Linked DNA regions of Mus musculus: all the other regions are reported to be linked to region 2. Evidence: microRNA targets listed by miRTarBase, many of them from high-throughput screens and not tested one by one. Region 2 holds a microRNA gene; each other region holds the end of a gene's coding sequence.
The links. Region 2 holds the annotated microRNA mmu-miR-466f-3p (CAUACACACACACAUACACAC, at 1,549-1,569, shown strand). A microRNA usually pairs through its seed, bases 2 to 8, with sites in the 3' UTR of a target mRNA and lowers its output. Matches are read on the target gene's strand: a 7mer-m8 pairs with bases 2 to 8, a 7mer-A1 pairs with bases 2 to 7 and ends in A, and an 8mer does both.

Region 1: miRTarBase lists Slc16a9 as a target of mmu-miR-466f-3p. Seed matches in the 3' UTR shown: 7mer-m8 at 3,303-3,309 and 7mer-m8 at 1,598-1,604.
Region 3: the mRNA of Ric8b is a reported target of mmu-miR-466f-3p. Seed matches in the 3' UTR shown: 7mer-m8 at 2,344-2,350.
Region 4: miRTarBase lists Pnrc2 as a target of mmu-miR-466f-3p. The part of its 3' UTR that is shown has no 7-base or 8-base seed match.
Region 5: miRTarBase lists Tspoap1 as a target of mmu-miR-466f-3p. Seed matches in the 3' UTR shown: 7mer-A1 at 3,205-3,211 and 7mer-A1 at 3,247-3,253.
Region 6: the mRNA of S100pbp is a reported target of mmu-miR-466f-3p. The part of its 3' UTR that is shown has no 7-base or 8-base seed match.
Region 7: miRTarBase lists Acsf3 as a target of mmu-miR-466f-3p. The part of its 3' UTR that is shown has no 7-base or 8-base seed match.

What each region holds. Positions count from the first base shown.
Region 1 is chr10:70,283,343-70,287,421 of GRCm38, reverse strand. It overlaps Slc16a9 (solute carrier family 16 (monocarboxylic acid transporters), member 9), which reads right to left. Exons shown (of 6, transcript NM_025807.3): 6 at 1,471-3,548. The coding sequence ends at 3,367. Among named protein-coding and RNA genes, the nearest start is that of Gm40687, 4.4 kb to the left of the region's middle.
Region 2 is chr2:10,467,181-10,471,255 of GRCm38, forward strand. It overlaps Mir466f-2 (microRNA 466f-2), which reads left to right and starts at 1,495; the gene lies at 1,495-1,588. All of the region lies in intron 10 of Sfmbt2 (Scm-like with four mbt domains 2), which reads left to right. Mir669f (microRNA 669f) reads left to right here and starts at 49; the gene lies at 49-169. Mir669e (microRNA 669e) reads left to right here and starts at 315; the gene lies at 315-433. It also overlaps Mir669b, Mir669d and Mir669l.
Region 3 is chr10:85,014,383-85,018,461 of GRCm38, reverse strand. Ric8b (RIC8 guanine nucleotide exchange factor B) reads right to left here. Exons shown (of 10, transcript NM_183172.2): 10 at 125-3,386. The coding sequence ends at 3,275. Among named protein-coding and RNA genes, the nearest start is that of Gm34633, 12 kb to the right of the region's middle.
Region 4 is chr4:135,868,410-135,872,488 of GRCm38, reverse strand. Pnrc2 (proline-rich nuclear receptor coactivator 2) reads left to right here. Exons shown (of 3, transcript NM_026383.3): 3 at 35-1,563. The coding sequence starts at 53. The coding sequence ends at 475. It also overlaps a transcript of Srsf10 not described here. Among named protein-coding and RNA genes, the nearest start is that of Pnrc2, 3.4 kb to the left of the region's middle.
Region 5 is chr11:87,782,149-87,786,227 of GRCm38, forward strand. It overlaps Tspoap1 (TSPO associated protein 1), which reads left to right. Exons shown (of 32, transcript NM_172449.2): 31 at 512-562; 32 at 2,588-3,780. The coding sequence ends at 541. It overlaps Gm34064 (a long non-coding RNA gene), which reads right to left. Exons shown (of 3, transcript XR_388944.3): 2 at 3,874-3,978; 3 at 1,033-1,384. Among named protein-coding and RNA genes, the nearest start is that of Mpo, 9.6 kb to the right of the region's middle.
Region 6 is chr4:129,147,454-129,151,453 of GRCm38, reverse strand. S100pbp (S100P binding protein) reads left to right here. Exons shown (of 7, transcript NM_001379590.1): 7 at 363-3,452. The coding sequence ends at 504. Among named protein-coding and RNA genes, the nearest start is that of Fndc5, 12 kb to the right of the region's middle.
Region 7 is chr8:122,816,912-122,820,990 of GRCm38, reverse strand. Acsf3 (acyl-CoA synthetase family member 3) reads right to left here. Exons shown (of 10, transcript NM_144932.4): 10 at 3,104-3,599. The coding sequence ends at 3,455. Among named protein-coding and RNA genes, the nearest start is that of Gm35466, 4.5 kb to the left of the region's middle.

The sequences.
Region 1 (4,079 bases), not on the chromosome of region 2:
TCTCAGAGGTGGCATCCTTCAAACCCAAGGACTCGATGACAAAAGATACCGAGAGACAGTGATTACATCGGAGAAAATGCACTGTGGATGCTAACTGCGCCCCTCAGGCACTCCTAAGGGAGGCATTCTCTTCTTCAAAACGGATCTCTCCTTCATTCTCGGAGCCTCCAGTCTAAGGATAATCCTGTACTGATTGATGGCAGCTAAGACTCTCTGAGGTGACAGATCTTATACACACACACTCTCTCTCTCTCTCTCTCTCTCTCTCTCTCTCTCACACACACACACACACACACACACACACACACACACTGGGCTATGACCTCACTGTGTTGTTTCATAGGGGTTGTTCCTCACCAGTCCTTTGAACACTGGAGACTGAAGCATCCCTCCTGACAACAGGACTCCCTGGAGAGAATTAGGCCAGCACCTGACTCCTCTGAGAAAGCAAAGGTGAAGACTTGCAAAACACTACTAGGAGGTGCATTGCAGACAAATTCCCTGGGTCCACACTGGTCCCACCCTCAGCTCTTGGCATTTCTAGTATCCAGGAATCTCTCTCCAGTCACAGAAGACTTGCTTCTGGTCCGTGTAAACTTATTAAGTTCATTTTTAATGCTCATTCTTGCCGGGTGTTCCTATTTATATAACTTCTCTGCTGAGACCTTTGACTTGGCAGAAACTCTCCTGGCTAGATATCTTTTCCCATCCGAGTTAGGAATCAAAGGGACAGCTTTGGTCTCTTCAAAGAGAGACCTTTTTGAAAATTTTTGCTCTTGGAAATTACCTTCCTGTGCTTTTATGTGAAGAGTGATCATGTCAGGACAGTTACATTTTGTATTATAAAATCAGAGTCATGGTTACCACATCACAGGATTGTGAGAAACGGGATAAGCTTGGAATGCTTTGAGCCTTCTACAAAGGATCAAGCTGGACATAGTGGTACCCACACACCAACCACCTCAACTATTGCACAGACCAGCCTTGGAGCGCAGACCAGCCTGAGCAACATAGCAAGACCCCAACTCAAAAGGAAAAGTTCTGTGTGTTTGTGAAATCATTACTGTGACTCTTCCTTCCTCAAGGCCAGGCTCCTGCAGTTGGGACAACAGCTCTGCTAACCCAGGGGTCAAGGCAATTCAATATGATGACTTTTGAGTCTGCTTTGGTCCAATCTAGACCTAAACTATATCCAATAACTTATATATTTAAATTCATCTGGAGTGTCACTGTATCGGGAAAGAAAAACAATAAACAATCATTTTCCATGTTTTTCATTGTAACTCGCTCATATACCATGTCTAGACAATGGCTCATGCACACATGCGTAATATCAATGAGAAAGGACACCTCTGCATTAATTGTCAACATTGATGGCTGCAGGCATGTCAGCAAAATCAAACCTCTCAAGTCACCAGGAATCTTGGACACACTATTGACGAAAACAAGACTTGGAATACAAACGAGTATAATTTTTATTTATTTATTTGGCTTAAAAAAAATCATAGCTCTAAATTTTAAAGACATCTTTTTTTATTTTTATTTATGTGTGGGGGTATATATATATATATATATTATATATATATATATTCCACCAATACACAGGTGGCTGTGGGGGACAGAAGAGGGTGCCGGATCCCCTGGAGCTGGAGTTAGGCTTTAGTTACTAACTTTGATAGACTGAAGAATGAGGTACAAAGAACTTTCCAGAAGTCTGAGTGTAGAACACAAGTCTCATGTGCTTGGAGCCCCATTATTGCATTGCCACAGGACTGACTATGCGATGGAATCTTTCTACTTGATGACACAGGACACAGTTGTACCTCTGGGAGGTGCTATCCGGGATGTGTAATAAAGTGCTTCAGGTGTCCCCAAAGGAAGGCAATGTAGTCCTGCAAAATCATTTCACATATTAAAAAAAAAAAAAAAGGAAAATTTTGGCACAACAGAAAGGGAGCCCTTACTTAAAGAACCCTTGGCTGTTTGTTTTATAATACCTGACTTCATGGTTTATCTTGTTTGTTTGTTTGTTTGTTTGTTTCCTTTTATTCAAGAAAAACAGTACTAGCCAGGAAAGGTACTCCTACTTAATCCCAGTACTTGGGATGCAGCCGCAGGTGGATCTGAGTTCAAGGCCAGGCTGGTCTATACTGCAAGTTCAGATCAGCTAAGGCTACGCAGAAGAAACCCTGTCTCAAAAAATAATGCAAAGGAAAGCAGCATAGTAGCACGCATTTAAGTTTCCACAGGGCATTTCCAGCCATACCAAACTTGAAACCCATTTCTATAGAGGAAAAAAAAGCCCATTTATTAAACATTATTTTTCACCCTCAAACATTGTTCTTGGGATTAAATACGGTTGGGTGAGAGTAGCGAGTTCTCTTTACCTTGTCCTTTCCCACATCTTATGGACCGAAAGCATCATTTTTTTTTTTTTTAGCACTGTCCACAAATCGAAACGCAATAGTGGAAAAGCCCAAGAGAAACCACCACGGACTTCATTTGGAAGACATGCAAGCAAGGCCTTGCAACCCGTTCTCGAGGTGCTCAAAGCAAATGGGCGCTTCCCATTGGCCAGATTTCGGAATGGTTCAAAGGTCTATTTCCAAGGCGGAAACCGGCAAACCAACAGGTTATTTGGAGACATCAGCAGAGTGGTTGCCGATCAACACCAGCGAGCAAGGTCCTAGGAGCCGGCCATGCAGGCGGACTGCTGGAGGAATCGAGTGAGTTCGAAGGCAGTGGACACCAAACTGCCTCACAGTACTTCATCGAGCACAGTAAAACAAAACGGACGTCAGACATCTGTGATTTAAAACTATCTTGTCTAAGGTCTTCGACAGCTCAGCGATGTTGCAACCGCTTTCATTTCCGGAAATGAAATGGCTCATTGTCTTCTCTGGATTTGCAGGTCTGACATCGAGGAGACAGCCATTACTCCTTCACGCAAATCCAATTGTGAGGAGCGCACAGTTTAAGACAGGACCCACTGAGCACCTTAGAGAACTCACGGGGAAAGCAGAGACTTTAAATTTCATCCAGAGAAAACTGTGCGAGGCTAATTCTGAACTCATGAACAACGAACAACCATGAAACAGAACAGAACAGAACAGTCCCACTTCTCGAGGGGTGGGGGAGGGGAAGACAAGGAATCAAGGTTATACAAGGCACACAAAGACAGAGCGTGCGTTGTCCTTCAGAGTCAGCCAGAGAAGTTTTGCTATAAGATTGTGACTCTAGAACCTGCCTAACAATTTGTTATATACGAATATTCATTCATTCATACATACATACATACATACATACACATATTGCTGTATGGTATAAAGTAGAAAAATAGAGAAAATAAGGCCTTTTAATATCCCTCTAAACATTAGAGGCAACTTTGTAGAAAAAGGTGGTTGGCACTGCTGGCTTAGGTAGTTTTTTGTTGCACATATCCCAACAGGGCAAGATGGCGAGCAGCAGGATGAATCCCCCGAGCAGGACACAGAAGCCACTGAAATAAAAGGCGATGTCATAGGTCTGGGTCCAATCATAGAACCAACCTGAGGAGAGAGTGGTTAAAACAATGTAAGTTTCACAGAGGCCAGGTGCATGCTCCCCACCCACTTCCAACATGGCTGCCAGTAGTTTAAGAGAGAAGTCTGTTAAATAGTTGAGGCAGGTATTTTTAGTTTCTTCCAATTAAAGAATAGGCACAAAGTCAGAGGAAGTAGATCTGCTTATCTCTATTGCAGGGTGTGTGCTGAGTGTGCATGCATATGTATCCACATGCATGTGTGTGTGTGCATGCATATGTGTGCATCTGTGCACACATGTATGCATATAGGTGTGCTCGTGCATGTGTGCGTGTGCAAATGCATGTGCATGTGTGCATGCGTGTGTGTACATGTGTGTGTGTGCTGGCCTAAAACTCACCATATACCAAACATGAGCTTCAATTTCACCCTTTAGGCCCTCCCAAGTGCTAGAATTACAGGCGTGAGCTCCCACACCTGGTTTTAGACAGAGCTGGAGAATAGACCAAGGGCTTCCTGCATGCTAGGCAAACACTCTATTGACTGGGCTACATCCCC
Region 2 (4,075 bases):
CTTCCTGAGAATTTAGAGATTAGTCTGTGATTCATGTGATGCCCCCCATGTATGTGCCTGTGTGTATAGTTGTGTGTGCATGTGCATGTGTGTATATGAATATACATATACATACACACACACGTATAAACGCAAGCACAAACACACACAGAGGAATGGCACTCGTTGATCCATTTGAATGATATGTGACTTAGAGCTTTAGAGATTATGTAGTATTGGGCCACTGAAACTTTTCATTCACCAGGGAAGGCTTGCCAGAGCATCAGTATCCAGAGTTCAAAATCATGCTTAACTTCATAATGAGTTAAAGATCAGCCTGGGATTCATGGGCTGTACCCTATATATGGGCAGGTGTGTGTCTTGTGTGTGCATGTTCATTTGTGTATATGAATATGAATATACACACACTTACACACTCATGCACACACACACACATCCATTTGAATGATATGTGTCTTAGAGCTTGAGAGTTTAGGCAGGACAGTGCCAGGGAGAGATCTCACTCACCAGGTAACAATGTTTGCCATACTCAGGAGGATTAGGAGATGAAATTCATGCTTAATTTCATGATGAGTTAGACATCAGCCTAGAATTCATGGGATGTCCCCCATGAATGTATGTGCATGTGTATATAGTTTTGTGTGCATGTGCATGTGTGTCTATTAATGTACATATACATACACACAAACATATACACGCATGCGCAGATACAGACACAGAAATGGCTTTCATCGATCCATTTGTATAATATGTAAATTTACTGGGCCAGTGAGACATCTCACTCACCAGGCAAAAACATTTCTCACAGTCAGGAGAATCAGGAGTTCAAATTCATAATAACTTCATGATGAGTTAGAGATCAGCCTTGTGTTAATGTGATGACCCCTATGTATGTGCATGTGTGTATATTTATGTGTGCATGAAAATGTATGTATATATGAATATACATATACATACATACCCACACAAACATGCACACACACACAAACACACCCACAATTGCCACTTACCAATCCATGTGAATGATATGCAACCTAGAGGTTAGAGATTGAGTATTCCTTTGCCCAAAAGAGCTCTCTCTCTCTCACCAGGTGAAAATGCTTGCAGAGTAAGGAAGAACAGCAGTAAAAATTTATGCTTAATTTCATGATGAGTTAGAGATCAGCCCGGGATTTGTGTGTTGCTTGCTCTATATGTGTGTATACTTGTGTGTGCATGTATATGTGTGTATATGAATATACATATACATACACACCCATATACACACGCATGCATGCACACACACAAATACATATACACAGGAATGGCACTCATCGATCCATTTGAATGATATGTGACTTAGAGTCTTATAGATTATGCAGTAGTGTGTCAATGAACGGTCTCACTCACCAGGTGAAAATGGTTGACAGAGTCAGGAGGATCAGGAGTTCAAATTCATGATTAACTTCAGTTAGAGATCATCCTGGCATTCATGTGATGCCACCCATGTATGTGAATGTGTGTTTACGTGTGTGTGCATGTGCATGTGTGTATATGAATATATGTATACATACACACACACATACACACTCATGTAACACACACACACACACACACACGAATGGCACTCATTTATCCATTTGAATGATATGTGACGTAGAACTATAGAGATTATGTAGTACTGGGCCAGTGAGTGCTCTCACTTTCTAGTTGAAAATGCTTGCCAGAATCAGGAGAATCAGGAGTTCAAATTCATGCTTACATTCATGAGGATTTAGAGATCAAACTGTGAATCATGTTTTGCCCCCCATGTTTGTGCATGTGCGTATAGTTGTGTGTGCATGTATATGTGTGTATATGAATATACATATACATACACACCCATATATACACGCATTCATATGAACACATCAACACACACGCAGGAATGGTATTCATCGATTTATTTTATTGATATGTGATTTAGAGCTTTAGAAATTATGTAGTACTGGGCCAATGAAACTTTTTACTCACCAGATATAAACGATTGGTATAGTCAGAAAGATCTGGAGTTCAAATTCATGCTTAACTTCATAATGAGTTAGAGATCAGCCTGGTATTCCTGGGATGTACCCCGTGTATGTGCATGGGTGTATAGTTTTGTGTGCATTTGCCTGTTTGTATATGAATATACATATCCATACATACAATCATATACAGGCACACAAAGACACACAGACATGAATGGCACTCAGTGATTCATTTGAATGATATGTCACCTCAAGTTTTGGAGGTTATGCAGTACTTGGCCTGAGAGGGGTCTCAGTCAGCAGGTGATAATGTTTACCAGAGTCAGTAGGCCCAGGGCCTGGCAAACGCAGAAGTGGATGCTCACAGTCAGCTATTGGATGGATCACAGAGCCCACATTGGAGGAGCTAGAGAAAGTACCCAAGGAGCTGAGGGGATCTGCAACCCTATAGGTGGAACAACAATATGAACTAACCAGTACGCCCCGGAGCTTGTATCTCTAGCTGCATATGTATCAGAAGATGGCCTAGTCGGCCATCAGTGGAAAGAGAGGCCCATTGGTCGTGCAAACTTTATATGCCTCAGTACAGGGGAACGCCAGGTCCAAGAAGTGGGAGTGGGTGGGTAGGGGAGTTGGGGGGGGAAGGGTATGGGGGACTTTTGGGATAACACTGGAAATGTAAATGAAGAAAATACCTAATAATAAAAGAGTTCAATTTTATCCTTAACTTCACGATGAGTTAGAGAGGAGCCTGAGATTTTTGTGATGATCCCGTGATGTATGTGTGTATATTAATATACATATACATAAACTCATACATACACATACATGTGACACCCACATATGAATGGCACTCATCGATCCATTGGAATTATTTGTGACTTAGAGCTTTAGAGATTATGTAGTACTTGGCCACTGAAAGTTTTGATTCACCAGGTAAAAACCCTTGCCAGAGTCATCAGTATCTGGAGTTCAAATTCATGTTTAACTTCATGAAGAATTTGGGATCAGCCTGGATTCATGTGATGTCTCCCCTTGAATGTGCATATGTGTATACATAAGTGTGTTCATGTGTATATGTGTATATGAATATACATATACATACACACAAACATACATGCATGCATGGACACACACACACATGAATGGCACTCATTGATCCATTTGTATGATATATAATTTAGAGCTTTAAATATTATGTAGTACTGGGTCAGTAATAGTCTCACTCATAAGGTAAAAACACTTGCCAGAGTCAGGTGAAGAGAGAGTTCAAATACAAAATTTACTTCATGAAGAGATAGAAATCAGACTGGGATGTTTCTTATGTATGTGCATGTGTGCATATATGTATGTGTGCATGTTAATATATGCATATAAATATACACATATAAACTAACCAACACAACATGCACACACACAGAGACACACACAAATACACACACACACACACAAACTCAAAATTGATACTCATCTATCCATTTGAATGATATGTAACTTAATGTTTTAGAGCTATGTATAAATGGGTCAAGGAGAAGTCTCACTCACTAGGTGAAACACTTGCCAGAGTCAGGAGGATCAGGAGTTCAAATTCATGCTTAATTTCACAACGATTTAGAGATCAGTATGCAATTGATGTGATGCACACCAAGAATGTGCATGTGTTAGAGTTGTGTGCATATTCACTTCTCTATATGAATATGCATATACACACATGCACACACAGTAATGCCACTCATATATCCTTTGAAATGATATGTGCCATAGAGCTTTAGCGCTTATGCGGTAGTGATCCAGAGCTATGTCTCAGTTAGGAGGTGAAACGCTTGCCAGAGTCTGGAGGATCTGGAGTTCAAATTCATGTTTAACTTCATGATGAGTTAGAGTTCATCATGCGATTCATGTGATGCCCAACAAGAATGTGCATGTGTGTATAGCTGTGTGCATATTCACTTCTCTATATGAATATGCACATACACGCAAGCACACACAGGAATGGCACTCATATATCCTTTTGAATGGTATGTGACTTAGAACTTTAGAGCTTATGCAGTACTGATCAAGAGCTATGTCTCAGTTAGGAGGTTAAG
Region 3 (4,079 bases), not on the chromosome of region 2:
CTTTCCCAAAAGACAGAAGGCAACATCTTTTTAATGGATGGAAGCCAGGGTTACAGGTTGTAATACTCATTGCGGTGACCAGCAGTGTTTGCCACACTTCATGTAACGGAATGTCACAGCCATCAACATTTGAAGACTATTTATTGGTATGGGAAAATGCTCACAATGTTAAGGAAAGCAGGGTACAAATCTGTAAACACAGCATGATCCCAATCTTGTAGTAAAATAAATTATATATGCATAGAAAAAATATAGGAAAGGAATACACCAAACATGAACAGTGATGCTCTCGGGGGTGGGAGGGCTCTGGGTCAATAGCTAGTTTTACTGTTTCCGCACTTTCTAAACATTCTACAAGAAGCATGTATGACTCTGATAGACAAGGTGGGGCCAAAGAAAGCTGAAGGAGAGTGATACCTAGTCCTGGGGGCAGCAAGACTCACGTGCCAGGGTGCTGTCCAGCCATTTGCAAAGCTTCATTCAACCTGTCATTTATAGAGAAAGGACAGCATTTGCCCTGACTGCCACTAAAAACCACTGGACATGCAAACGGGCCACAGACATCTGGAAACTGTTCCTCTGAGGAGTTCCAATGCCTTGTTTTAGGGCGTGCATTCCCAAGTCCAGTGTATGTAAACGGCCGTGGTCACTGGCTGACCCCTCTCACTGGAGGACCGACCCACACTGTTGCTCTCTGACCTAAGGGTGTCCAGGTCTTCACCTAAAATCTGCTAACTGACCAAGCTTCTCCCGCTCGTGCAGGTACCTCCCTGATGGGAACACCAGAGACTGCTGCTCAAATAGTTATTGCTTAAAATGGTCTGAGAAGGACCACCTTCCGCAGCCTGTCTGCTGTCTTAAAGCCTCTGGCTAGTGGTCCTACATGCAACAGGGAAGGTGCAGGTGTCAAGCCCACAGCTGGACCCTGGCTTGCTGAGGGTCTAGGAAGTTAAGCAGCTCTCTGGAAAGGCTCTGCTTGGAGATGGGGTGAGGTTACAAAGAAGACATGAAGCTCGCTGCTCAGTGCTCTCTGTGTGCATGGTGAAGCTACTCCATCTTTTAAAGAATTACTCCTTAAAAAAAAAAATTAAGTGCCTAGATGCAAGAGATGCATGGTGAAAGGAACTTGTTGAAAGCGTCGGAGCACAGCTACGGCACTGTGCAAGCACTTGCGCAGAGGCGGCAAGGTGGCGTTTCACCGGGCACAGCATGCTTTCGTAGGCTGATGCTCATGGAAAAGCTATCTGACCAGAGATTATAAAAATACTTTTGAAATGAATTTGTAGAATGAAGTAACAAAATAACTAAGTTCCTGCTCCTCTGAATTTTTTTCTACTTAACTAAAATTATGAACGGCAGAATAAAATGAAAATCTTATTGGGTGGTGCCATTGGCTAAAACAATAGTTATGGATGAGAGTCCTTGATGTACGGACATTCCCGAGTCTCTTACAAGTCTTTTGGTTGATCCTTTTAGAGCCGCTCAGGGCCACTATTAGGAAAGCTGTCTCTGGCCACCTGTCACACACACTATCTGCTGAGCCTTGGATGGTGTTTCTTCCTGCTCACCTTGCTGTGCACACTGGCCCCCATTTGGATCTGGAGGAGGAATCTGGGCACTGAAGGCTCCCCACTCCCGGCTGACGCCTTTTACTGTTTTTAGGGTGCCTGCTTGAAACACACTAACCTTCTCTGCCTTTGTGTGGGGTGAGGGCTCAAAGTCCAAGTGACCAAACATGTTTGAAATGAATATAAATCTTAGTGATGGTGACTACTCTTTAAGGGTTCCCTTCAGAGTAAATTTTAAGAACTTCCTGGCATCTGTCTGGTAGCTCAAAGGCCAGGGACCATTGAAGCTAAACGAATTCTCACCAATGCTATCTATGCACACTCTGTCCTGGAAAGAGGCTGCACAATGACAGGTGAGGGAGCAGGTGGAGAAAGACTTTAAAACATAAGCTGTGCAATAGTCTCCTTAGACCACGTATCCATAAAGAAACACACACACAGATGGCTAAATTGAATCATCCCCAATGTTTTATTTAATTTAAAGTTTTAAAAGGCAGTGGTCAAGCACATAATCTATGTGTGCATATATCTATGTATGCGCATGTACACACACATACATATATGAAAGAAACCAACCCCTTTTCAACTTTAGCCACTGATCACCTTGGCCTGCTGTCTACATGATTGCACATCTACTTCATATGACCATTTCTAGGAGTAAAAATAAACAGCCTTAATCAGTTTAATAGTAACTATTTGTGTTTCTTTGTTTTTAAATAAATAAAGTTACCATTAAACTGATGACATATGGTAGAAAGGTAGAACACACACACAAATACACACAGAGACCCCAGTTTAAAACATGTGACATACGAATGACCTTTATGTACAAACGGGTGCTGTTGGCTCCCTACCCCCAGCACAGGCCACAAAAGAACTCCCACTACTCGGGGAGCCCCATCCTCTCTGTTGCCTGGAGGATGAGTGTGTACTTGGCACCCTGAGTGATACCTCAGAATGCACACTGTGGACGCAACGGTACAGATGGTGGTCCAGCCCTACGGTACTAGTAGTGTTCAGGAACGAGGGATAAATAGGCACGTGTAGCTGCCTGAACTAAACCATTACTTCTAACTCCTCCCAGGAAGAAATGTAATCTCAAGTTTTCGCTAAATGACACACTTTTAGAGTGTAATAGGTTTGTAAGTCTGGGGCCATGTGTGTGTGTGCGTGCGTGTGTGTGTGTTTCCACATTTGTATAAAACTGAAATGAAGGGTAGGGCTAGGCTTACAGAACAGCTGCCTGGCTTTCGTTCAGTCAGTGCTGATCTAAGGAGTCACTTGCCTCAGCCCTTATTTATCAGCTCCTCGGGCCCTCAGGGGCCCCAGGTCGCTGGAGAGACTCAGAAGGGGCAGTTGACATGGGTGGGTGGAAGGACACGCAGAATCTTCGGCAACAAGACTGCCAGATCTGACCAGGGCTGCTTGCCGAGTGAAGTCCCGTACTCTGTCCTGGTGCAATGGGATGTCTGCTTCTGCTTCTAGCCCCGCAACTCTGCCTAACTGCAGCTCTGTATGAATGCCTCAATGTTGCAGAAAACACAGGATTACCTCTTAAATATGCTGGATTCCCAATGAGTAAACCAGTTAATGTGTTTCTAGCCAAAGCGAGGGCATAAACGTTTTAGAGAAAAAGATTCCCCTGGAGCTACAGAGAAAAGATGCTGATAAAAGCCATATTGAGAGTGGAGCAGGTGATGATGCTTTCAGTCTGTGTCCGAGCTGGTCTCTTCGATGACAGAATACTGGCTGAGTGCTTCCTCCAAAGGCGTTATTGTCCCGTCAGGTTTTAGTCCCATTGGTTTAAGCAACTCCTCTCTAGAAAAAGAGATAAAAGAAAGAGAAAAAAAAAAGTATTCACCAACATCACACACACACCCTCCCCCATCCAAATCCACAGCCTTTTAAAAAGAGAAGTCTTTAAAAACCAAAGTATTTTCTCCCGAGCTCTCTGTGTATTTGTAATAGAAAGATGAAAGGGGCATGGAGAAAGAGGGACATGAAAGGCTTCATTCACACAAGCCAAACCTAAGCCAATTAAAGGAGGAGAAGTCAAGGCCCAAATGCGCTCAGGACAAGGAGCAGGTCTCTCTGGGTTTGAATAATTAACTTTATTTTCCTCTTGTGGATCTGTTTTGTCTTAGAGAGGCTGACGCTCCGGCGGTTCACCTGCTCATCTCAGAACTAAAGGCACGTTTCATTTAGCCGAATCAGTTGGTCAGGCTTGGGTCGCTGCCATCATCTCCAATTCACAAACACTTGTTGGTTCTCTTCAAACCAGTCGGGTTTCCCCAAGTTCTCCTTCCCTCTCTCTCTCTCTTTCTCTTTGTTTAAAACACCATTGCTTTTGTTTGTGGCAGTTTAATTATGGGATTGACAGCCATTTTAATCTCTTCAAAGCACCCCAACTGTCTCTCTTCACCTAATCCAATTGTATCCACTCCACAAGTTACAGCCTCATCTAAGATGATTAATTATTGATTAAGCCAATCAAAAAGCACCAGGAAAGAC
Region 4 (4,079 bases), not on the chromosome of region 2:
GTGGAATTTATTGTTTACATGTATTTACTTACAGGTGACAAAGAAGCTGAAGATGGGTGGCGGAGAGAGGTATAACATTCCAGACCCTCAATCTAGAAATGCTAGTAAGAACCAAGAACAGCAAAATAGACAGAAGAGCAAGGATCAGAATTCTTCCCAGACGAAGATTGCTCATAAGAAAAAGGAACGAGGACATGGGTACAATCCAGCAGCAGCAGCATGGCAGGCCATGCAAAATGGGGGAAAGACCAAGAGCCTTTCTAACAACTCCAACTGGAATGCTGGTTTATCAAGTCCTAGCTTGCTTTTTAAGTCTCAAGCTAGTCAGAACTATGCTGGAGCCAAATTTAGTGAACCACCATCACCAAGTGTTCTCCCCAAGCCACCAAGCCACTGGGTTCATGTTTCCTTGAACCCTTCAGATAAGGAAACGATGACATTTCAACTTAAAACCTTACTTAAGGTACAGGTATAAAGTTAGTAGGTGTTAACTTTAAATTGTGACGCTTACACATGACATCTGATTTATGTGCTGTACACACTATACAGTGTCGATGCAATTTCAACAATTTAAGTGACTAATTGATTCTACTTGGTAAATTCAAGTTTAGATCTGGGAAATAGTAACCTTAACTTTTTTATTGTTTGATGGGAAAAATTAAGATTTATGGGTTAACACACAACTTCTGAAGAAGTCAGACAGTGCATTTAGCATATACAAGGTTGCACAGTTCAGTTTCATGGTCTAGGGTCATCCAAACTATCTTGGGCATTTTTCAAAAGATAGCGGCGCAGCACATGTCCCAGTGGTCATTTCTTAAATGCAGTGGATAAGTACCCAGAGATGTACCAAGTCTATTCTAAAAACAGACAGTGCTGACTAGCACCCCACAAAGCTGCTAAAGTGATCCTGGCCTCACCTATATACAAAGCCTGTTTGAAGTAGGGAGTTGTGTTTGTGACATTTAAAGTCATGTAAATACATGTAATAAGCTTGTAACATATGTAATGTTTTCTTAGCCTTTATTCTACAAAAATAAGACTATTTTTAGTGTGAATTTGATGAATGTAAGACCATGAACTGTTTTTTTTTTAAAAATCTTATGGCCTAATTTTGAAGGTCTCCAATTTTTAAAGGTTGCCCTTGTGCTTAAGTGCCAGAGTGAATCAATGTAACTGATGTGTGAAATCTGTTGTATTAAGTTTTTATAATTGAAAAGATTTAAGCTACATTTCCTGTTTTTTTTTAAAGAGATATAAAGATGTAGGACAAAACTTCCTCCCCAACCATCTTAAACCCAAAGACTCATTTTGGCTTTATCAACCCTAAGTCACCCCTGCCTGATTATGTGCAACCCCTCATTTTCATTGGCAAAGGGAAAAAGTCTCTTGTGTTATTAAACCCAGTAACAATTACTTCTCAATCTTTATGAGCAGAAGAGCTAAATTGTGTTTTCTCAATTAAGTTCAGAGCAAGAGTTCAAGTCAAACATTGAGTATCCTAAAGGACAAGTTCACAAAACTATAATCTGACTGAAAAATAAAATTCATAAATAAACCTTTCCTCCCTAGTACATTCTTTTTATGTAAGTGATTTATGATTGTCTACTTGGGATGACTGTGATGCTACTATGCTGTTTGACACAGGTCTCTCTAGCTTGAACGCTGAGATTGACAGTGTGCACAGCCCTGCCCAGCTGAACTATGCTTCCTCTGTGCTGATGGGGAATTTAAACATTTTATTTATGACTATTCAAACTACCGAAAATCCTTGTATGTAGGCAGATATGAGTTACAGAACAGCAAGTGCTTTACCTGGTCTCAAAACCAAAAGTGTAATTAGCTTTTGCTTATTTGCTTAAACAATCCCACCTGCAGAGGATGGATTATCCCTGGTGTGATTCAGTGGAACAACTAACAAAGTCTTTTTGTGCCTCTGCCTATACTTTTGTTTTTTTATGTATGCATTAGAATGCAGCAATATGCCCAGATCTCTAATTTGGACTAAGATGTGTGCTGATTGCATAAACACTTCAATAGACACTAATAAAACATAGCTGTAAGTTCATTCAGGAGGCACAAATAGCAAAAAAAAAAAAAAAAAAAAAAAAAAAAAAAAAAAAAGGCAGCCAGGAGGGCTATTTACAGAGAAAGCCTGCCTTTGAGGGAGGGTGGGTGGGTGGGTGGGTGGGTGGGTGGGTGGGTGGGTGGGTGGGTGGGTGGGTGGGTGTGTGTGTGTGTGTGTGTGTGTGTGTGTGTGTGTGTGTGTGTGTGTGTGTGTGTGTACTCCTGCAGCCTTCAGTAAGTATGGCAGAATCCACCAGTTGGTTGCCGAAGGCAGCCATACAGTGTTCACTTCCTATGTATTTTGGTGGCAGTGTGTAGTATGATAGACTGACTTTACCTTAAATCTATTAATCCATTTTCAAATGGCTCTAAATTATGCAACTTCCCCCCCCCCCCCATATTTTCATAGGCAATGTTCTAAATCAAGTAATACATCTCTAAAACCTCAGAGACAAGTATCTGCTTGGGTAGTTATACCTGTAAGGTACAACAAAGTCTACAGAAAAACCAAGATTTTTTTTTTTAAAGCTCCTAGACCAGTTTATTTTACTCTCCAACAAAGAAATGTGATCTGCAAAAACAAAACCTGGATTACAAAAGCCTTTTACTTCTTTACAAACTACTGTTACTAATAAAAATTTACATGCCTCAAGTTTTTATCCCCCCCACCCACTGCACACAAAAACTCCCAACAACAAAAAACCAAGAACTACAGTTTTAACACAGGGTGAATGGTGAACCAGTTTTACAAATACACAAACATTAATAACTAACAGGATTGGAGGGACAGGAAAAGAGAAGAGAGTCTTCTGCAACAATGAATCGAGTATCTTAATCTTGATGAAGCTAACAGTTGAAGACAGTAAGTTGTTTAACCTCTCTGATTCCTGGCTATTGTTGAAGTCTAATCTCAATATTTGTAAAAAAGGAACATGGTAAAAAAGTACAGTGAAGGAAGCCAGCTTCAGAGTGCTGGAGCTCCAACAGCCTACAATCCTGGAATACACTTTAAATCTACTTTTAGTAAAGTTAGAAGGTGTGTATGCAAAAACTCCTGTCCACATGGTGGGTACCCCACGGAAGACAGCTTTCTTATTTGAAAAACAGGATAAGTGTTCATTTCCTGGGAGTGATTTTAAGGTTAAGTAGGAATATCTGGAACACACACAACTTGGCACAGCAAGTGCTGAGTAATATTGACAGCCTTTCATATACATGGAAACCACAATAGACAAGACTAAAAACAAGCTACCCCAAACCACAGGGGCCCCCCCTCAAACTTACTACACTCAACCCAAGAGCTGCCGATTACTGTTACTGCATTTATAAAGGAACAGGGATATTTTCCAGCATATGAAACCACTCCCCCAAAGAAAAGAAATCTAAAAAGTAAATAGAAACAATGTATTGAATTTTTAAAATGGAACAAAAACCTCATCTGAACTCACAACTTCATTTTCTCCTCTGGAAGGCCTTAAGCTCAATTGGAAAGGAAATGGAGGCCAAGTAAAGGACAGAACACTGCAGACGGCACAGATACTGTTAAATACACAGAACCTTTAAGACCAATCCAATGCTAATGATGACGTAAATGGTATAAATACACTTAGTAATTTATAATCTCGAAATAAACGCTAAATTCAGTTTTACCAATTTTTATTGTGTCCTTAAAAATAAAACTTTAAAAGCATTTCCAACTTGATTCAAAATAAAAACAACAAAAATGAAGCCAAAATTTATAATTCTCACATGGTGCCTGTTGCCTTTTTGAGTTTGGGCAGGCTGAAAAAAAGTTAAAAAAAAAAAAAAAAAAACCAAAAACCCCCAACAAATAACCTTCATTTTACCGCTCTCTTCATTTATGTGTAATCCTACTACATTTTAGAAAAAATGGTCAAAGGCTTAACACTGTTTCCAGATTTCAGATATTGACAGTTTTAAATATGTGGCAAAAATACAACAAAAATCCGAATGTGGTGGTATTAATGGTAGGATAAACAAGCTTCATATCC
Region 5 (4,079 bases), not on the chromosome of region 2:
CGTGATACCAAGGAACCCTAAGTGCTCAGCAGAGGAAGGCTCCACTAGGCCACCCTGTCCTCTTATATGCCCCTGTCTGCAGATCAGTAATGGCAGGGACCCTGCTTCTCAGGCCGTCTGACCTAACTGATGATTCCCAGGGGCTGATGCACATGAGGAGCCCTGTGGAAAAGGACCCTTGCCACTAGCCAGTTATTCAGGGTGCTCCTACCTTGCTAGGTCTGGGTGCCTCCCAGGTACCATTTGAAACCAGTTGCCCTGCAAGGTCCGACTTCTTGGGTTCTCTTTACATGGGTCTCCTTGGGATGGGTGGAATGCAACTAAGTGTCCAGACCCAGAGAGCAGGAAGGGTGTGAAGAGGCTGAGCTTCAACCAGAAACCCCACACAGTGGCTACCAACGCAAAGGCTGTGTGAAGCTGGAGCCACCAGGTACCTGCGCCACTTGGTGACTGACGGAGAGCATGCAGGCCTGTTGGTAACCCGTCTCCTCTCTTTGTTCCCTGTTCTCAGAGAACGAGGAGGAGAAGAGTCCAGTGCTAGATGGAGCTAGTGTAGAGACATGTAAGTGGGGGACTGGCTTCCGTGTCTCATGTAACCTCCATTCCCCACCTCACCTCACTAGACTTCATCTCAAATGGAGCTGATGAGTGGGAGAGGGCGATCTTGCCATGAGCCAGGTGTGGGTATGGGCCCTCCGCTCTCCCTGCCTTGCCATTACCCTGGGCAGTGTCAGGTAGCTGTCATGGGGTGGCATGTCATCCTAGCATATGACACTGCATCTTAGCTGACTCCTCATGTTCTGTCTGTCATGCAGCTTATAGAACATCATGTGATACTCATGTTATGACTCAGTGGTATTATGATACTATATGGCTGTGGTATTATAATATTGTGATTATTATTGGTGACAGGAAAGTGACACAGCCACGTCACCAGTAATAATAGTCTTCCCACCTTGGTCCTCTGTGATTCAAACTATTAGACTATCAGAAATCTGCTTTTATTCCTGTCTCCTAAGTTTCTTTGCTTAGAGGATAAAAGGGAGAGTTTGAATAGATGAAATCTATTGGAAGTCTCAAGCTATTCTTCTTTGGGGCTCAGTGAACCCTTCTTTTTGTCTCCCCAGCCCCCTCTTCCTCCCATGAGCCTTGGCTGTAAGTTTATTGACCCTTAGGACTGGACAGAGTCACTCTGTATGTTCTGTTGTTTCCTCTGCCAAGTCACCCATATGGTGGTGGTGGTGGCGGCGGCAGCAGCAGCAGCAGCAGCAGCAGCAGCAGCAGCAGCAATAGCTATGGTTGCGTACCCAGTCCTTCAGTTCTAGTCTGGGCTCTCTGGTTGGTTTTGGCCAGGAGCTTCTTAAGCTCTTGGCAGCAGTGGGGACTGGAGAGAGAGAGAAAAAAAAAGAGAAAACGCAGTTTTATCAAGAGTTGATAAGGCTAAGCCCAGGTTCAGGTGACGTTCATTTGGGAATAGCTTCCTGGTGACTACCTGGTTGGCCAGATTTCCTGCCCGTAAGTCACCAAAGAGCACTGCCTGGTGGGCCTGAGTCAGGAGGAGACTCAGCCTTGTGGATTGAGCAGGGAGGAGGGTTATCAAGAAGGTGCTCAGGGAGGGCCTGTCTGAAAGTCCCCTCAGGGGCCATTCAGGGCAGAGCCTCACCATCTCTCCTTGGCTTGGTTCTCCAAAGACCCACGAAGCACTGTGCCTCCTGCCTTGATGGAGATGGTGCCTGACCTCTTGTCTGGGAGGGTGTTCCTACCTCTAAGTGTCTTTGTCCTTGCTCTTCCTCCCCGGGGCAGAGAGATAGAGGGCTGGGAGAAGAGGGTCAGCTTGGCACCTACAGTGAGGCCCCAGTAAGGGAAGGGACACACCCAGACACCCCGAGCTACCAACGACAAAGCAGAGCCCAGATTCTGTCCCATGGAACTTCCTTAAGCAGGTTCTCATTATCATCTCCCTTCACCTCCATGCTGTGTGTGTGTGTGCACTCGCGTGCCTGTGTGTCTTGTGAGTATGTCTGTCTGTCTATGTGTATCTGTATGTGTGTATATGTGTGAGTGCATTCATATCTGTATGTGTCTTGTGAGTGGGTGTTTCTCTGTGTGTATCTGTATGTATGGGTCTATTTGTATGTGTGTATGTCTTGTGAGTGTGTCGAACTATATGTGTGTATCTGTATATGTGTATGTCTTGTGAGTATGGCTGTCTGTCTGTGTGTGTGTGTGTGAATGTGTGTATCTGTATGTGTGTGTGTATCTTGTGAGTGTGTCTGTATGTGCTTATTTGTATGTGTGTGTGTGAGTGTATCTGTGTATGTGTGAGTGTATCTGTATGTGTGTGTGTTGTGAGTGTGTGTATCTCTCTGTGTGTATCTGTATGTTTATATGTATCTGTATGTCTGAGCGTGTGTGTATCTATATGTATGTGTCTGTGTGTATCTGTATATGTGTATGTGTTTGTGTGTATATGTGTGTGTGTATATGTGTCTGCAGTAGCAGCAAGGTCTGTGACAGAAGAACAAAGGAGCAAAGGCATGGGTGGGAGGAGCTGGCCCTGGCCTTACCCTTCTTTCTTACATTTCAGGACCCCAGAATCACCATACAAGGGCCTCCAGTGCCCCCAGGCTGGCACTGTGCCCTCAGCTCTGGAAGTTCCTCCAGGACCAAACTGGGGGAGTCACAGAGCATAGCTGAGAAGAAGCAGGGTCTCCTCGCCAAAGCAAAGGAACTTCTCAAAAGGCTGGGCTCCAGGAAAGACTGAGGCTGCCGTCCGTCTGTCCTGCAGACAGAAGTGGCCCTGGATCAACTCACTGGCTGGACAGGGAAACCCAACTCCTGATCTCTGAGCAGACTGGCACTCAAAGGAGCCCAGGGGACCTGGTGAGGGTGGGGTTACCTGCACCCTTAGTGAGGAGTCCTCTAGATGGGCTCTTCCAGAGGGAACTGAGCCCCAGAGTAAGTAATCAAGCACCAAGCACTGTCAGATCAGGACTGGACCCACGCCTCTGGATTCCCAGTCTGTTCTCATCTACTCCTGCTTTGCTACCACGCTCTGTAGGTCCCTTCTTGGCCTTCCCTGCTCCAAGGATAGGCCCTGGGTGGAGATAGGGACCACTCTAACGATGGCTCTGGCTGTCCTCCCGATGGATCGTTTGCACTGGACTGTCCCCTGGGGCGGGGGCAGAGCCATGTACATACTCAGTGTATATATGTCCATACTCAGTGCATATATGTACATACTCAGTGTATATATGTACATACTCAGTGCCTCAGTCCAGGTCCTCCCTCTGCTTCACCGCACAGGCCAGGGGAGGAGAAAGGCCATGCCAAAGCGGGCCTGACCCCGCCCCATAGTGCTCCACCCCTCCCTGCCCAGGCCACCTGGCCTCTGTGTGATCCCATCCTCTCAGACCCAGGGGACCAGGGGGCAGAAAGCAGGAGTTGGGTTTGCCTTATTTTGCTCATTGGATTCAACTTCTCTCTTGCATCATTTTCTTCCAGTCCCTGTTGGGTCCAGGGGCTGAGGGAAAGGACGGATTTATGCAGCTATTTTCATACATTCCCTGTTCAGAGTGGGTAGGGGTGTCTCCCCTCACTCTAACCATCCCATCCTTCACCCCTTGTCTGGGCGAGTCTCTTTGCATGTTTTCTTCGCTGTGGTGGGAGATGTTTGATTGAACCCTCGCCCCCTACCCTGGTCTCCAGGGGTGTGGGATAGTGGGGGCATTTGTTTAAAAAGACATTTTACTATAATAAAGTCTATTTTCACAAAATTGATGCTGGGCTCTGCCTGGGCAAAAGACTCCTTAGAGGGATGGATGGGTCACGTTGATGGCTTTGAATTCATGGCTTCAGTACCCAGAAGCTCACCTTGAAGGGCAGCTGAGACCAAAACTAATCAGCACTGAGTGCCTCTCGAATCGTTCCCAAGTCCCTGGGCTGTGAGGCAGGGTAGGATGGTGGCGGAGAAGCACCCTAGAAGGTGATTACAGGAAATAGAAGAGACAAGGTGTCATTTCAAGAGAGTGGGTTGGCCACACAGGACTCTCCCTACCCCTCTTAACAAGTCTATAGAA
Region 6 (4,000 bases), not on the chromosome of region 2:
GACAAGGCAGTAAAGCAGTTAATGTTCAAGCAGGGTTGCTCCCAACAAGTAAGTTCCATGGAAACCCTGTCTCAAACAGACAGACAACAGCAACCATATAATCTGATCCTTACAGTCCTTAGGAGTTTTCAAGACAGGCTTGCTCTGTGTAGCCCTGGCTGTCCTGGACTCACTCTGCAGACCAGGCTGGCCTAGAACTCAGAGATCCGCCTGCCTCTGCCTCCCGAGTGCTGGGATTAAAGGTGTGTGCCACCACTGCCTGGCTAAACATAGCTTTAAAAGTAGTTGTGCTAGCTATTTCGTATACAGATGACAGTTCCAGCTGAAAACGCTTCCTGTTTTTATTCTCCTTCTCTCAATAGAAACTACGCCCGGTTCCGACAGAGGCCTCTGCAGAGGTACAGTCTGAGTCAGTGGGTTGACAGAAACAAGCGGAGCCACCATCGGTTCCAGCGTCTCCCAGACTTCTCCTACAGTCCATATGTCTCATCCCATCAACAGTGACAGTTCCTGCCAAGGGTCCCGTCCAGAGCAGCATCACATTTTCCTCTGCTATTTTTGTTTGTATATTTTGAGTTTTATTTCACAAGATTTTTATTTAAAGAATTTGTCACCTTTTGGAAATGCCCATTACTGTCTTGAATTTTTGTTTTTTAATGAGGGCCACCCCCCACCCCTGATTTGTATGTCTGTCTGGTGAATATGTTTCAGCAGTGTTAAGTATTGTTTTTCTGTTTGTTCACTGTTGTTGTTGTTGTTGCTGTTTTTAAATTTTAAATGAAGGTAATTCTCTTTTGAAGGCCTGCATTAAGTCAGAACAGTCAGGCTTTGAGTAAAATACCAGCTGTAAGGGCAGGCAGACTCACCTTCCAGTCTACTGTAAGGAAGAGGCTGTTTTGCAAGCTAAGAGCCGGTATTATTATTGTTGACTTGTGAATAGATAGAAGTCACTTTTAACGACCCCTCTTTTTAAATTTGAGTTTCTTGAATACTTGTCAGTATTTTAATGTTGCCAATTCAGTACATTTGAAATAGGAGAAGGAGAAAAGTCCTGTTGAAGGGCTAGATTAAAAGTGTAAATCCTCTCCTTTCTGTACCTATTAGCTGCCTTTTTAAAAAATTATTAGTGGCTTTTTTCACTCTCTATTAGATATATTTCGTTCATAATGTTTGAAATCTTACACATCTTAACTGACAGAAGACAGCTGAATAACCCTTGTTCAATACTCTGTGGTCTTGTGACTGGTTGGTTTCTCTGCCCCATTGTTTTCTTTTCCTTTTCCCACTCCCAGTGACCGGTTAGTCCTGAAGCTTTGCAGTAAGTGTTCTTATGTCCTGTTAGACTGAGACATGGCTCTCAGGTGCCCTCTGTCTGCTGAAGAAATCCTGTCAGAATCCTGACTGTCGTTAGGCCGGCACAGAATCCTGACTGTTGTTAGGCCAGCACAATTGGGATGTCTAGGAATCTTCAGTTCTGTCTTCGGAACCCGAGTTTATGTGTTGCTGCTGTTCAAGGAACCTTCGTCCTATGAAATCCTTGGGAGAGTCACTGGCCTCTCCCGTTGGTTACAGGTACCCTTATACCCTGGATGTTAGCGTTGTAGTTGTAGCATTGGGTCCATTGTTTCACATTAGTGTTTGAGCATCTTGGGAAAGTACGATTGAGCCCGTGCACCGCACCACCACCATGCACCGCGTAAGGTGTGGTGTTCCAACCAAAGCGCTAGGCTCTGTGTACTGTCTTAATGGATGTCCTAAAAGATCTGTATTTCTTACAGGCAGCTCTAGAGATCATTCTGAGAGGGTTTACAATATGACACTCCTGCTGCTGCAGTCACTGTGGGAGTGATTCATAGTTGCCTAGCCTCTGTCTCATTTTATATGTGGCTAACCCACCCTGAATAGTCTACTCTGCCTCAGAAAAATGATCTTTTTGTTCTGTTTTGTTTTTGCTTTTCAAGACAGGGTTTCTTTGTATACTCCTGGCTGTCCTGGAACTCGCTCTTAGACTGGGCTGGCCTTAACTCACAGAGCTCTGCCTACCTTGCCTTCTCACTGCTGGGAGTAAAAGGATGAATCACCATTGTTGGACTGAAAAAGTGACTGTGATTAGGAAAATCTTGATTTTGTTTGTTTTGTTTTGTTTTGTTTTCAAGCCTTTAATAGGTTTGGATAAATGTTCCCAAGTGTGTGTTAGTTTTATCTAGTGAAAGTTTTTTCTTCTTTCCTTCCTTTTTTGCGGCAGGGTCTCCTATAAAGCCTAGGCTAGCCATCAACACACTATTTAACCCAAGATGGTCTTGCACTTCTGATTTTTCTCTCCCTCCAGCCCCTCACCCCTCAGACAGGTTTTTTTTTTATGTAGCCCTCCTGTCTGGGTAGACCAGGCTGGCCTCAGGACTCACAGAGATTCACCTGCCTCTGCCTTCTTAGTGCTGGGATTAAAGGTGTGCACCACCACTCCCTGCTTTTGACATCCCCCCCCCCGCCCCACCCGCCACCCCCAGAAAGACTTTTCTATTTCTTAGTTATTTGGTTTAGATTCTGGGACCAGACTTTGAAAGGCAGTAGTCCAGTCACCTCTCTTGATGGGCACGCTTGTTGTTGACCTCAGTTGACTTGTCCAAGATGCTGTGAGTTAGCCTGTTAGACTGAGATATGCCAAACAACCCACCTATGGGACCAAAACAAAGTGCAGATTAGCTACCGCTGGAGTAGCTAGCATTGGGGCTGAATGGTTCCCACGGGGAGCCCAGGGAGTGGAGGGACAGCAAAGCTCCTGCTCTCCTGCTACCAGGAGGAATTAAGACTGAATGTATAATGGGAGTGCTGCCTCTGTCAGAGCAGATGAGTGACAGGTTAACTAGAAAATGTGACAATCACATTTCCTCTAGCGCAGATAATTCTGTTTTTCCAAAGTGTTAGCAGCTAATTAAATCTGGTGGACTGGGGGAGGAGAGAGCTGTTCTGTACTGGTTAACATGGTATTCTTTAAGGAGAAAAAAGCCAAAGAAAACTCATCCGGCATGTTAGCCTTAAAGATGGTACTGGCCAGAAGCCGGGGCTTAATCTCTTCAGAGCTGCATATCTCTTATGTTTGGGTTTGGCCTCTAAGTCTTGTAGATTAAATTAATTCTTGCTGTATTTTTAAATTTGAGTAAGGGTTATGTGCATTTAACTGTGTTCCTGTCTTTTATCATCCCTGGGGACGTTCTTACCATAGGGGTCTTGACAAAGCAAAGCTAAAATGTGTTGTTGATAAATAGTTCCTGTGTAGGTCAGGAGCCGAAATAACAATAGCTCTGCAGCTCATCGGGCTCTGATTTACTCGAGTTGTTGTCGGGGTCGATTATGAAACTGAAGTTTGGTGCCTCCTTTTTTATCATGTTTTTCCCCTTGTAGCAGTTGTGTTTAATGTCATTAAAAAGAAATAAAAGTTCTCGTCAGTGGCATATGTACTGTGGCCGTCTGTTCCGGGCTTTGGAGGAGCACTCTCTGCCTTCCTCTGCGTAGGTCGCTCTGCTTGGGAGGGTGGCGGCATTTAGTAGAATATGGTTCTGGGAAGGAGAAAGTGCTTGCTCCCTGTTCTTTTGAGGGTAAATTACAGTGCTGGGGAAGGCGTTCCAGCAGTTAAGAAATGTTGCAATTGATTAGGATTTGCAGCTACATATGGTGCATGTCAGGAGCCTGACATTGGGAGAGCCTGAAATATCCCTGTGCAGAGGGCGGGGGAGACCAGGCAGCCGGTAGCGGGCGGGAGGGCAGTGCCTTGCATTCCTTCCCTTCCCATGGATCCATGGCCGGCCACTGTGTATGTTTAGGAAACCATGCGGTTCCAGGGCATTCTCCCTTTGGAAACAGGAGAAACCAGAATTAGTCATTTGAAATTGGTGGGTGTTCTTTTTTTTTTTTTTTTAAGATTTATTTATTTATTTACTATATGTAAGTACACTGTAGCTGTCTTCAGACACTGCAGAAGAGGGCGTCAGATTTCATTACG
Region 7 (4,079 bases), not on the chromosome of region 2:
TGGCTGCTGGAGCCTCTGAGACAACTGACATTTCACCGAGGGAGGCATTTCTGAGACCAGAACTGTGTTGTCTGGACAGCCATGTGTACATATGTTTTATGTATGTTCAATGCATGTGTGTGCCTGGTGGCATGTGTGCACAGTCCAGCCAGCCTGATGGCGTGCTGTCCCTTTTTAAGGAGTAGCTCATTCCTGTTCAAGCAGGTGCTTTAGGCACTGCTGGTGTGGCAGCTGGTTGTTGCTGGTTTTTAACTGGTGGTGGGGGCCTGACAGTCTGGGATGAAGGACATTTAATGGTCTACCTCACCCTTATCTGATCAACCTGTCATTCAGGGCTATACCCTGCAGGCCAATGACCTCCTTGTGCTTCAGAAGGGTCACCAAAGATAGGACATACAGATGCGCCTGACCCAGCCGAGCCTGGTCTGAGCCCGAGCACTCCATGTGACACCCACATTCCTCAGGAAAGTCCCTTTTACAAGCCTGCACACAAACATGGTCACTTGTGAGTGTGCAGAGATATTAGCCTCCCCTACACGGGCTCACTTTTACAGAGGCGGTTGTCCATGTGTACCACATATGTACACAGCAGTTCCATGGGAGCTCACATACCGACCTCTGATCACACAAAAATACCCTAGGCAGATGGGACAGAGATGGGAGGGACACCGGAGAGGTGGCCAGGACAGATGGAGGCCGAGGGCTCTGGACCTGAGCAGTGAGTACACTCTACACCACAGTCTTCTCTCTCAGATTAAACAGCCACTCCCTTCAACTTTCGGTTGTTTCATTCGAAGGCCAGAGGTGCCCCTCTCAATGTGTAAAAAGCACCCACAGACAGGAGCATGCAGCATCTCTGCCTGGGTAGTACTCACTGCCACCTCTGAGAAGGGCTCAGGGAACAAATAGTGCATCTTGTTCCCTGCCTGCCAGTGTGAGGCAGGTCCCCGTGTCTGACCTGTGGCTATCCTTCACTGTAGCTGACAGCGCTTTCCTGGCCTTTATTAACGACCGTGTCAGCAGCTGGCGTGGGATGCTGCGACTGTCTTCAGGTGATAGATCACGAAGGCCTTTCACGGCTATTTATTTCCAGTGACCCTGTCTCCCCTCCACTATTGCTAGCTTAAGAGTTATGAAGGTGAATCGGGATAATTTGATATCGATCTATTTGCTGAGCTAAATTGACCGCATGGTGGATGTTAGTAAGGGCATTTGGCTCTACCAGGGCCTGTGATGGTGGCTCTGATCTGCTCACGGCTACAATGGGGAAACAATTACAGGGACCAACACGGAGGGCCAGAGTGCCAGATATCGGGGAAGTGGTTCTTCTTGGGTGTTGGAAGGTTCTACAAGGGCCGTAGCCACCAGTACTGCACCCACAGGAATGTGGCAAGTGTGACAATGGATGTTCCCCATTCTGGCAGGTGATGTCTTGTCTAGAAACAGTCAAGCCACAGTGGCCTTGAGAACACCATACAGAGAATGGCAAGAGACGTGTGTGTGTGTGTGTGTGTGTGTGTGTGTGTGTGTGTATGTGTATACAGATCTCCTGTGGCTAGGCTGACATTACTCTCCACTCTGCATGGCTATCTGAGCTAGTGTGGCTCCAGCTTTGGGTCTATATGATGGCCCCAGGGCATCTTATCTTTCACTATGCTGGGCCATGTGGGCAGTGCCCTGCTGTCTTCTCAGGCTCAGTTCACCAGGAAAGTGCCTGGTTGCTCTCCATCTCCCAGGAGCACAAGGCTTCCCTGTGAAGGCCTTGATGCATTGGCCAAGGGTCAACAGAGTAGGTGTGCACAGCACAGGTGCCTCCTTCCGTGATCTTGTGAGGATATCTTTTGGAAATATAAGGACTGAGGTCTGGGCTGGCCTGTGATACCTGCTATGGAAGGGCTCCAGGTGAAGTTACCTCCCACCATTCCTGAGGCTTTTTTTCCACTGAGTCCAGGGTCTTGAGCCCAGTAGCAGATGTGTTTTCTTGAGCAAGATGGCCCAACACAGGGTGATGCTGCATAGGGTCACTCCCACAGACTGCACTGGGATTCTCTGGGAATCCTGCCCCTGGGGATCACCGCCATGGACTGGCTCTGGGAGGCCCAGATATCCAACAGCTCCTTCCACATCCTGGTTTCTGGAGGCACAGCATCTTCCTTCCAACAATGAATCGTCCAGTCTCACCTGGAGCTCTACCAGGCCTTGTGGCAACATCAGAGGCCCCATCAGTGATCTCTGCAGATTGCTGAGGGCCATATGTGGACTCAGGGCTATTGTTAACACGTGGCCCCAGGGCTATTGTTAACACAGTGGACCCAGGGGTCTGGGGAGGAAGGGAGAGGGGGGGAGGGGGAGGGGGAGGGGGAGAGTGAGCGTGAGAGGAGAGCAAGAGGGGGAGAGGAAGGGGAGGAGGAGGGAGAGGGAGAGGGAGAGAGAGAGGGGGGAGGAAAGGGAGAGGGAGAGGGAAGAGAGGGAGAGGAGAGCGGGAGAGGGGAAGGCGGAGAGAGAGGAGGAAGAGGAGGGAGAGGGAGAGAGAGGGGGAGAGGGAGAGAGAGGGGGAGAGGGAGAGGAGAGCGAGAGGGGGAGAGGAGAGCAAGAGAGGGAGAGAGATGGGAGGGAGAGGTAGAGGGAGGAGAGGGAGAGGGAGAGCTCAAGAGCGCTGTGCTGTTTCTCCCCGTGGCCTGAGGGCACATAACCAGGATCTGAGCTGGCAGGACGTGGGCTGGAAGATGGAGGCCTGGGAAGCTGAGTAGGAAGAGGTTTGAGAAGAAGGCACAGAGGACCAGAAAGACCCCAAACTGGGGTGAGACAAGGTCAGGGAAGAGGAGCTTCAGGGCTATTTGGGGATGGCCCTCACCTGGCATGGATGAGGCTACAAAGACTTCAAGTGTTCTAACACACACACACACACACACACACACACACACACACACACACACACACACACACACACACACACACAGCAGCTCCAGGGAGATAATCCCGGCAGCAGGAACCATGGTCTGGGAGCTGTAGGCTCCACCCAGTGCTGTTGTTTGTTGTTCTACGTGGGCTGGGAGCTGTGCCGGCCTAGGAAATGTGTGCGCGCAGACTCACAGCTCACAGGTCACAGTCAGAGAAGCACTACACGGTGTGTCTTTATTTCACCTCTTCTCACTGTCACCTCTGACTCTCTGGGACCTGCCCTCAGGAGAGGCAGCAGCCCCGGGCACTGGAGAGCTGGCCACAGCCGTGTCCTTACTGTGCTTGTGAGACTGGCACACACCAGTGATCTCAAGGACCACTGAGGACACAGCCAGTGGTCAGGGTCACCTGGGCTTGGACAATCAGCCTGGGGTTGAGGGAACTCACTTGGTGATTCGTCCCTAGAGGTTTTGATTCCGGTCAACCTGATTGCAGGAGGGGAGGGGTTCCATCCGAGGCCCATAGCACGTGACCGCGGGGTGTTTGGGGTTCTCTAGCCTTGGCCTGGCTGGCTCCTCTGTCCTGAGGGGTACAACTGTTTGAGCAGCTCCTTCTTATTCACCTTGCCCATCTGGTTCCGGGGGATCTCCTCCACCAGCAGGAGCTCCGAGGGCACAGCATAGGGGGCCAGGACACCTCTGCAGAGACAAGCACAGCCTGAGGACAGCACCCCACCCCGGGAAATGTCTGATATATCCAGAAGCCATTGTGGCCACATCCTGACTGTGACAGATGGCAACAGGACTGTTGTCTTCTCTCTGGCTTCCTACAAAGTCAGCAGTGACATGGGTGAGGACACTGAGAGGAGGGGACGAGTCCTTTGCTCTCCTCATCCAGACTGGTTTCTTCTTGTCCTGGGGATAACTGACCACAGGCTGGCCTGCTGCCATTCCCACTTAAGGTGACTCTGGCACAGGAGAGTGGCTCCTGCAGGTGACAAGCATGGTCAACTACCGACAAGTAGCTTCTGGGCCACCACCAGAACGTAATGAGAGGAAGGCGTTGTTTTTGGTAGGAAAGGCTGCGGGTCCTGTTCTGTGTCTCAGATGGCACTGAGGTAGGGATGTGAGCCCTGCAGATGTTCTCCTGCTCTGCTGCAGGGACAACCTACCCAGAGA